2 linked regions of the Macaca fascicularis genome follow. The main gene of each other region encodes a partner of the protein of the gene in region 2 in a complex. Links are inferred from orthologs where the notes say so. Each region holds a gene or a part of one and is shown on either strand. Other genes may lie near its edges.

What was found. Proteins that work in one complex are often made in the same cells at the same time.
Region 1: the proteins of NRP1 (region 2) and PLXNA4 are in contact, whole or in part, in a cryo-EM structure (PDB 7M0R), measured with the Mus musculus proteins. The link is inferred for Macaca fascicularis from reciprocal best matches to the Homo sapiens genes NRP1 and PLXNA4. Residues at the interface, in NP_032763.2 of Mus musculus: Arg80, Tyr84, Asp126, Tyr127, Glu128; in NP_786926.2 of Mus musculus: Glu272, Lys340, Lys343, Lys345, Leu349.

The regions. Positions count from the first base shown.
Region 1 is NC_088377.1:174,113,902-174,118,182, forward strand, and holds the start of PLXNA4 (plexin-A4), read right to left. Parts: upstream 2,869-4,281; 5' UTR 2,820-2,868; intron 1-2,819. UniProt on the Homo sapiens protein: Coreceptor for SEMA3A. Necessary for signaling by class 3 semaphorins and subsequent remodeling of the cytoskeleton. Plays a role in axon guidance in the developing nervous system. Class 3 semaphorins bind to a complex composed of a neuropilin and a plexin.
Region 2 is NC_088383.1:34,085,933-34,090,068, reverse strand, and holds the start of NRP1 (neuropilin-1), read left to right. Parts: upstream 1-1,198; 5' UTR 1,199-1,415; exon of another isoform or gene 1,416-1,425; intron 1,426-1,545; exon of another isoform or gene 1,546-1,574; 5' UTR 1,575-2,040; coding exon 2,041-2,113; intron 2,114-4,136. UniProt on the Homo sapiens protein: Cell-surface receptor involved in the development of the cardiovascular system, in angiogenesis, in the formation of certain neuronal circuits and in organogenesis outside the nervous system. Mediates the chemorepulsant activity of semaphorins.

The DNA.
Region 1 (4,281 bases), on a different chromosome or scaffold from region 2:
TCTGCAGGGAGTAGCAGCAGCAGGCGACAGAAAGGCACAGAGAAGGAGAAAGGAAACAAGTTGACTGCCTTGGAGTCCTCCAGAAATGTCTGCAGTGTCCCGGTGGGCATCCAGGGTGAAGTCCTGGGAGGACAGAGGAGAGCCCCGGGAGGGTGTGATTGGGCAAGAAGGAGCAGCTTGCAGGTGACCCACGCCTAGTGCTCACAGGAGAGCTGCCTTAAGCACCATCTACCAGGCAGTGAGGGTCTGCTGAAAAGAAGCATTCATGGCTGGAGTTTTTCTAGTGTGAATCCCTTCCCAGTGAGAAAGACCTCAGAGAACTTAAAAGGAAGGGCACAGAAGAGTGGCAGAGAGGGTGAATGACAGCATGGCATGCTCCAGGGCTGGGCAAGAGAGCCAGGAAAACGTGATATATACTCCGCTTTACAGAGATGTTAATTAATGCCTGCCTTGTCCTAGAAACCAAATTGGTACCTAATGCTAAGTGCGGAAAGTGCGGAGATTGTTTGAACCCAGATGTTTAGCTTATAACCAGCATAATGACTGCTGGCTTTGCATTAAAATGATGGATCCTGAGGCTGCAAATACATGAGAAAGGAAAGAGGGTAGAGAGGAAAGCAGAGAAAGGAGTGGAGGTCTGCAGGGAAGATGCAGACATTTCAGGAAGATCCTGTACCCTATCCCTTTGCCTCTTCCAGGTCTCGTGAGGGACTGTTTACCTGGGAGGCACCCACTGTTGCTGGAGCTCATTATTTCTATTGCAAACCATGTGCTGCTGTACAAGTAGGTGGGACCTACCTGTCCACGCCCTCGAGGGGCATGTGGGGAGAAATGTTCCATTTCTTCCACAGCCCCGAAGACAGAGGTGGACCCCATTGTCACACATGGCTAGGGGAGCTGACCACATTTAGCCAGACTCTGAGAACGCATGTGGGTATATATCTTGGGTGTGTATGTGTGTGCACACGCCCACCATGCTTAAAAAGCAAATAAGGTTTCTTCCCCCTACTGGGGTCTCCCCATTGTGAGAGATTTGCTTTATTCCATCTACGCTTTTCAGTCAATCAAAGGGCAGCTCACACAGCACACAGCGGGAATACAATCTCCCTCCCGGGGCGTCTGCGCTTCTCCCCAGCCTAGCCAGAGACCTTTGCAGGAGCTGAAAAAAGTTTGGAAATAGCGGAGTCAGGGTGCTGAAAAAGCCGTTTCATTCAGCCCCCATCTTCAGGATTTACAAAAACAACCCAAATTCTGAGCCTAGCACTGAGGCCTCCTTGTTTAAAAGAATGTTTGCTCCTCTCCCATCATGTTCTGGAAGACTCGTAACATATTTTTCCCACTGGTGGGTTTGTGGGATACTCTGAACACATGATCTTGGACAGAGGGTACAAGCTTACTCAGTTCTGGGGGAGAATGATATGATCAGGTTGCCCAGAAAGGTACCTCAAAGGGACAGCTCCAGAAACGCAGGAGCTTGTACATGTATATTCAATTCCAAATTTGTTTTGGAGCTCATGTTCTTCTCCCTATGACAACTGAGACCCTAAATGAGTTGCTCTTAGACCCTAAGAAGGGAACTATGGAAAAGCCTCTTAGAACCCCAGACACTTCCTACCTCCTCCAGAAAAAGTTAAAATGAGCAGCCTGTGAAACTCCAGCCAGAGAGAACAAGAACGAAAATGCTTTCGGGAAATAGGACCTTAAAGAACTGGCTTCTGTGGAGTGGTTCTACACTCGGAGCAGCCCTGGGCTCTGGGGGACGCTGGCAGACCCATGAATGCTTTGCCTCCTCCAGTGGGCACCGCCGCCCGCCGCGGTCGTGAGGGAGGGAAGCCTCCTCTTTTGGAGAACTACACCCCTCGTGCTTCCCCCTTCTAGTTATCTTTCTCAGACACACACCTCGAAAGGCATGTGACAGGTGTTCGCCAGCCGGAGGCACCGGGGAAGGCAGCCCCATGTGCCAAGGAAGGGTAGGGAGGTGAGAGGGGACCCAAGTCCTGTGTCTCCAAGCCCTGTCTCCTTGCTGCTAAGCAGGGACTGAGGCTGTGAATAAGGTCATACCTTTTAAGGAGGATATGACCCCCGTACCTTCCCTAGACAAGCAACATACGCGGCGATGCTTTAAGCCGCTTTCTGTCTGAAATCTCGGCGCATTCCCGGGGAAGCAGTGCCACGCTTCAGAAAGGCGTTTGTGCTGCCTCTTACTGGGGAAACGCAGTGTCTGTTCCATATGCACCGCCCTACAGAACTGCAGCCCCAACCGCCTATGTGGCCTCCTCTCCACGCGTTGGGCCATCACTCTCTCCAAATAGGCGGCCGAATATCTGTGGTTCTGTCTCCCGTTGAAATCCCAGGGTGTCCAAAGGCCACGGGGCCGCGATGACACTGGGTGGGTCTCCGGAGACCTCCCAGGACTTCTCCCGTTTTAAAGCCCAGCTAGGGATGAAAGGGGCTGAGAGCTAAAAAATCGCTCCCTCAACCTTTTCGGGTGGGAGGCAGAGCCGGGAATACACAGAATCCCACCCCGAAAGTCCGGGAAAGAGAAGTCTGAGTCCGGGAGAGTGAGAGGAGAACGCACCCGGGAAATCCCTGCTCCGGCCGCTGCACCTCCGCGGGCGTCCAGGTGGGACGTGGGCAGGTGCGCGAGCGCCGTGTGTGCCGGTGTGGATCTGTGTGTGTGCCTGCGTGTGTGTGTGTGCGTGTGCCGCGGGCTGGCTCCAGGGCACCGAGGATTCCCGGGCCGACCCGGCCCGGGTCTCTCCGACCGCGCTGCCCTCACCGCCCGCCCGGCCCCGCTCCCCGGCTGGCCGGCTCCTTACCTGGACGCGCCGCGTTTCCCTCCTTCAGCGGGAGCGCCGCATTGACACTGCAGATGGAGCCTATGCCGCTGCCTCTCGCCCTCCTCTGAACGTGTGCGTGTGCGCGCGTGTGGCTGCCTCCTCCAGCCCCAGCCCCGAACGCAAATACTCCACCGAGGCACAGGGAAGCCGGGAGCAACCGAGGAACGCGGAGGGCGCCGAATCAGAGCCTGCGGGGCTTGACAGCTCCTCTTGCGGCGTCCAAGGTGGGCGTAATGTCCAACAAGAAGGTCGGAAAATGGGGATCGATTCCGAACACCCCTTTTCTCCACCCAACCCCCGAGTCTAAGCAGCGGCGGCGGCTCTCGGGGGCTGCGGTGGCGACGCGGGGCTGCCCCCCTTCGTCCCCACCCCCGCGGGCTGAATGTCCTTGATGCCAAGCGGGCACAGCGGCGTCACTCCGCGCCGCCCATGCTCGCCCGGTCGGGCCGCTGCCCGGGCGCGGCGAGTGCGCGGGGGACCCGCCGGGGAGCGCTCTCGGCGCCTCTGCGCGCCTCTCTGGGTAGCGGCGGCCGCCCCCCGGCAGCCCGCGGCCGGCCGCGCCGCTGCAGCCCCCACCCTTGCCGGGGGATTCGCCGGGCAGTGCCCTGGGGCCGGGGCTGGGGGGCCTCGGGAGCCGCCGGCTGCTCCCCGGGGAGGCGCGGGGCTGCGGCGGTGGTGGTGGCGGCGGCTGGCGCTGCGGCAGAGGAGAGCTCGGCCGCGGGCCGAGCCGGGCCTCCCGGGCGCGCCCCCGGCCCCCCGGGCGGGCTGCTAGCAAAGTTTGCAGGGGGCAGGGAGCGGGGCCGCCGCTGGCTCGGCCGCCGCCGGAGCTCCCGGGCTGCCTGCTGCCGCCGCGGCTCGCTGCTGCTGTGCATTGAAGCCCGGCCAAGCGCTGCAAAAACTCCAGCTGCCTGGCGCTCTCTGGGTCCTCCTCTCCTCCCTCCCGCCCTCCCTGCTTCCCTTCCTCCCTCCCTCGCCTCGCCTCCTCTCCTCCCCGCCGCCCGCCGCCCGCCGCCCGCCGCCGCTCCCTCTCTGGCTCGCTCTCGCTGGCTCGGAGCTCGCGGCTGACATCTAGACCGAGGGAGAGCTGCTGGCAGAGGGGGCAGGGGGCGCCTCCCTACACTCTCCCACCCGCCGCCGCCTGGCTCGCCGGCTCTCGCCCTACCAATGTTTGCCGACACCCCCCTGGGTCCCCTCGGCCCGCACGGAGCCACCCTGGCAGTGGCGATGTGGGGCGGAGAGGGGGGCATACATGGGTGACCCGGGCGCAAGGCGCGCGCTTAGAGGGAGGCATCCAGCCGCCTCGGAAGGTGCAGCTCTGGGCGCTGGCCGTCGGAGGGACCCTCAGGTGCTCAGAGCTGACACGAGCGCACACTGACGCCGAGGCATACACCCATTCCTACTCAGAACCCCTCCCAACACCCCACCAAGTCACCCCCACATG
Region 2 (4,136 bases):
GCACCCCCCACTGACCCGGGACCCGCCTGCACCCCGAGGGACGCGCGTCACTGCGCCCAGCCGGAGCCGCGAGCGCGCAGTCCTGGCCTGGGGCCCGCGCGCCTTGGGCTTTCTCCCTGCCCGCCCCTTTTTCTTCCGCCAAAACCTTTGACCAGAGTCTCCTTGCCAGCATTCCTACCTCCCTTTGGCCAGCTATTTGTGCCAGGTAGGAATCAGGCTGCACTTTGGCTGTGTGTGTAGACGCCAATCCCCAGGAGGTGTGTGACCTTTTCACCTTACCCACAAACTCCCTGGGAGGTGGCCCGTGGGCATTGACCCTTCTCTGGGGACAGATCGGTGACCGCAACCTGTTTGTTCCCTGAAATGTCCTTGCTTTTCCCATCTACACACGCTTCCTGCAACAGTTCTCGGAAAACCCTCGGAGATGGGCCTGGGGGGCATCCAGCGGGCTGGGGGCACGGGCCGCTGTGGGAAGTGGGGGTGGCAGGAGCTCGAGGGCCGGCGTGCACGTTGCCTGTGGTTGGGAGCGGGCACTGTGAGGGCGCAGCCAAGAGCACCCCTCCCCCGTCACTCTTTCCCTCCCTCCGGATGAACAGAGAAACGGAGGTCACCCGACCCCTGATTTCCACACCCCTCCCTAGCACCTGGGCTCCCAGACAAGGTTGGGCGGTGTCGGGAGGCGCTTGCCCCCCAGCTTGGAAGGCGCAGCACCTCCCCCCTCCGGTGTTCCCTCTGCCCCAGAGGAACGGGCACCAAATCTCGGGAAACAATGAAGCCTCCGCGGCGCGCAGAGGGCACCCGGGAGCGATCGGCACCCAGCCGCGCGCCCTGATGCGGGCCAGTGAGGCCGCGTGGGGCTGTAACCCGGCCTCGCCCGCCAGGCGGTCTGACTTCGCTTCACACTGCAGCGACACTGCCACCCCTCTCCCGTCTTCGCGGTGCGGCTTCCACTCCAGCCCGGCTTTCCCCTCCTCGTCCTCCAGTTCTGGGCGGGGGCCTCCAGGGGTGCCCCACTGCTCCCCGCCACAGGTCTCAGGCTGGCGCGATGAGGAGTGGCAGGGGGTGACCCTGCGCTCCTCGCCGCCGCGGGCGCGGGCCCCAGGATTTGAAGTTGCGAGAAGCAGCCGCCACCTCCCGGGCGCTCCGCACTGCGCGGCAGCGGGATCTACGCCTCCAGGAGCTGCCCAGCTCTCCCTCTAGGGGTGCAGAGCGAGCACGCGAGGTGGGCTGGCCAGACTCCGTGGCTGGCACCGACCTCCGCGCCCCTTCCTCCGACGCCCGCACCCACGCGCCCGGGGCGCAGACTCCCAGCGCCTTCCTTCCCGCGGAGATCCCTGCAGGATCTCCGGGAAAGACAGACAGACGGACGGGGAGAGCACTCGGAGGGAAAGTTGTTCCTCCCAGTCTCCTGTCAGGCAATTACAGGCGAGCCCGAGCGGGGAGAGGGGCGGGATGAAGCGAGGGAAGGGCTCCGGAGTGGGGGGAGGCCGCAGGAGGGGAGGAGGGGGTGCAGTTGGTGAAACTCCTCTGTCTCCCGCTCATCTTTTCATTGCTCGTTCCTCTCCTTCCCGCAGACACCCGGACCTCCCCTGGGCGCCAGCTCCGCGGCTCCAACGGGTCCAGAAACAAGCCGGATTTTTTTTTTTTTTTTCTTCCTGGAAATTGGCTTTGGTGTGTGTTGCCCTACCTCCCTCCTCCCCCTCCCACCCACAGCCCCCCCTCCCTTTTTTTTTTTTTTTTTTTTTTTTTTTGAGACATGGCCCGGGCAGTGGCTCCTGGAAGAGGAACAAGTGTGGGAAAAGGGAGAGGAAGCCGGAGCTAAATGACAGGATGCAGGCGACTTGAGACACAAAAAGAGAAGCGTTCCTCTCGGATCCAGGCATTATTGCCTTGCTGCTTTCCTTTCTCCAAGACGGGCTGAGGATTGTACAGCTCTAGGCGGAGTTGGGGCTCTTCGGATCGCTTGGATTCCCCTCTTTGCTGCATTTCCCCCCACGTCCTCGTTCTCCCGCGTCTGCCTGCGGACCCGGCAAAGGGAGAATGGAGAAGGGGTTGCCGCTCCTCTGCGCCGCGCTCGCCCTCGCCCTCGCCCCGGCCGGCGCTTTTCGCAACGGTAAGTGACAGGCGGAGGCGCGGGTGACAGCGGCGCCCAGGCTCCCAGCTGCCCGCCCCGGACCGGGGCTCAGGCGGGGCTTCCCGGGATCAGCCGGGAACAGCCGACTCCCGGGCAAAGGAAACTTTTATCTGGGAGGAGAGATGAAGAAATGAGATCAGGCGGTTTAGGGCAGGAGGATTTCAGGTCTTTGGGCTCCCTCCTGACGTTGATCGTTGGGCTGCGGGGCTTTTCCTTACCTCTGCTACAAGACAGAGCTGCCTACCTTCCCGGATCAGCACGCCAATTATCTTAATAATGTTTCCTCCCAAAGGCAATTAGAAGAGACTCCCTTTCAAAAATCTGATGGCTGTTGAAAGTTAATGAACACTTTACCAGGAGATCTTACTTCCTGGTTCCTTTGCTGTGCCCCTAAGCCGTTTCCTCTGGTGGGTGATGGCCAGAGATACCGGTTTGTGGGTTGATGAAACTCCCTCCCCCGCCTTTGTACATCTTCCCTAATCTGTCTGGAGTATGACTGAAAGTTACATAGTGTCAATACAGGAATCTGATATATACAGTGTAAGGCACCAGGATATCTGAAAATCCCTAAGCTAGTTGCAGCTTCCACTCAGCTTTTAAAACCACTCACTGTCAAGTAAATGAAAAACTATACTGGGGTCTAAACAGTACCATGTAACCTAAATAATGTGTTTTAAAATGGGATCTGGTTGTAGGCATGTTTGACTTCACACTGTAAAGTAAGTGCAGGCAAGGGTATGCAATTATCTTTACAGTAAGTCGTCAGCAATTGTTATTAACTAATGATCAAATATTTACTTTTGTCTGGCTTAGATTTCAATCACAGTAATTAGAAGAAAAGAACATCCACTACTTACTGTGGTATATTGTTTTAATAAGAGACCGCGAGTGGAGGGCCTCATACCAACAGGAATTTAAATCACATCTTTATGATGGAAGTTAATCTCTCTAATATGCTTTTTCAAGGTTTTGTGATTTCAGCAATGGATTTCCCTCAGCAGCTACCAAGCAGTATTCTAAAGAGATGCTTAAAGCAAAACACATGCAAAAAAAATTATGAACATGGAGTTCAACTTATTAGTGAACCCAAGTTGATGGCATTTTTCTATAATCTGGCAGGAAAGCAAGACACAAAAAATTATGAATGTAGAGTTCAATTTATTAATGAACCTGAGCTGGTAGCATCTTTTTATACTCTGGCAGGGAATGAAATAGCATTCTCGTCCAACTGAAAGAGCTCAAATGGTTGGACTAGAAATTATAGTAACCCTGTCCTCCACAACTCTTTGAGAATAAATCCATAGCAGGGGTGTTCACAAGCTCAATGCAAAGAGCTATCAGACTTTAGGTTGTAAACTACACAAATATATATGCAGTACACACACACACACACACACACACTTCTTAATTTTCTTAGCAGAAATGTGGGGAATGCTGAAAATCTGGCTTTAGTTGGTGAGCTTGACCAGCAAAAGCCATGTTGCTATGCTTGAAGTGACCAGAGCCAGAAAATGCCACTGTAACTCAGCAGAACCTCTTAAAGCCATGTCCACCTCCTCTAAGTAACCAGTGTCTGCTAAATTAGTTCATTAACCTTATTTAGGACTAATGGTCCAGAGTCATTAGAAATTGCTCTTTCTTAATCAACTGCTAGAGAGATTTAACAGAGCCAGAGAGTCTAGCAGTCCACATTATCTTATTACACTGTCACTTTCTCAGAAGTCACAGATTAAAGAGCTCTGGTGTGGTACCAAGTCCACCTAAATGTCTTCTGAAGTGACTCTGCTGAGTGACTAGAACCAGGGCTGTTTTATTTCACTCCTGTAACAGATGCCAGACACTACCATGATGTTTGTCCAGAGCTGGAGGAGACTTAATGAGACGAGGTCACTTTCCAAGTTTTCTGCACATTCAGAATAATGCAAGAGTCTCAGTAGAATCACAGAACAGAGTCCAACATGATCATTAGCTGAGATTTTGAACTCCAGTTACAACATCATTT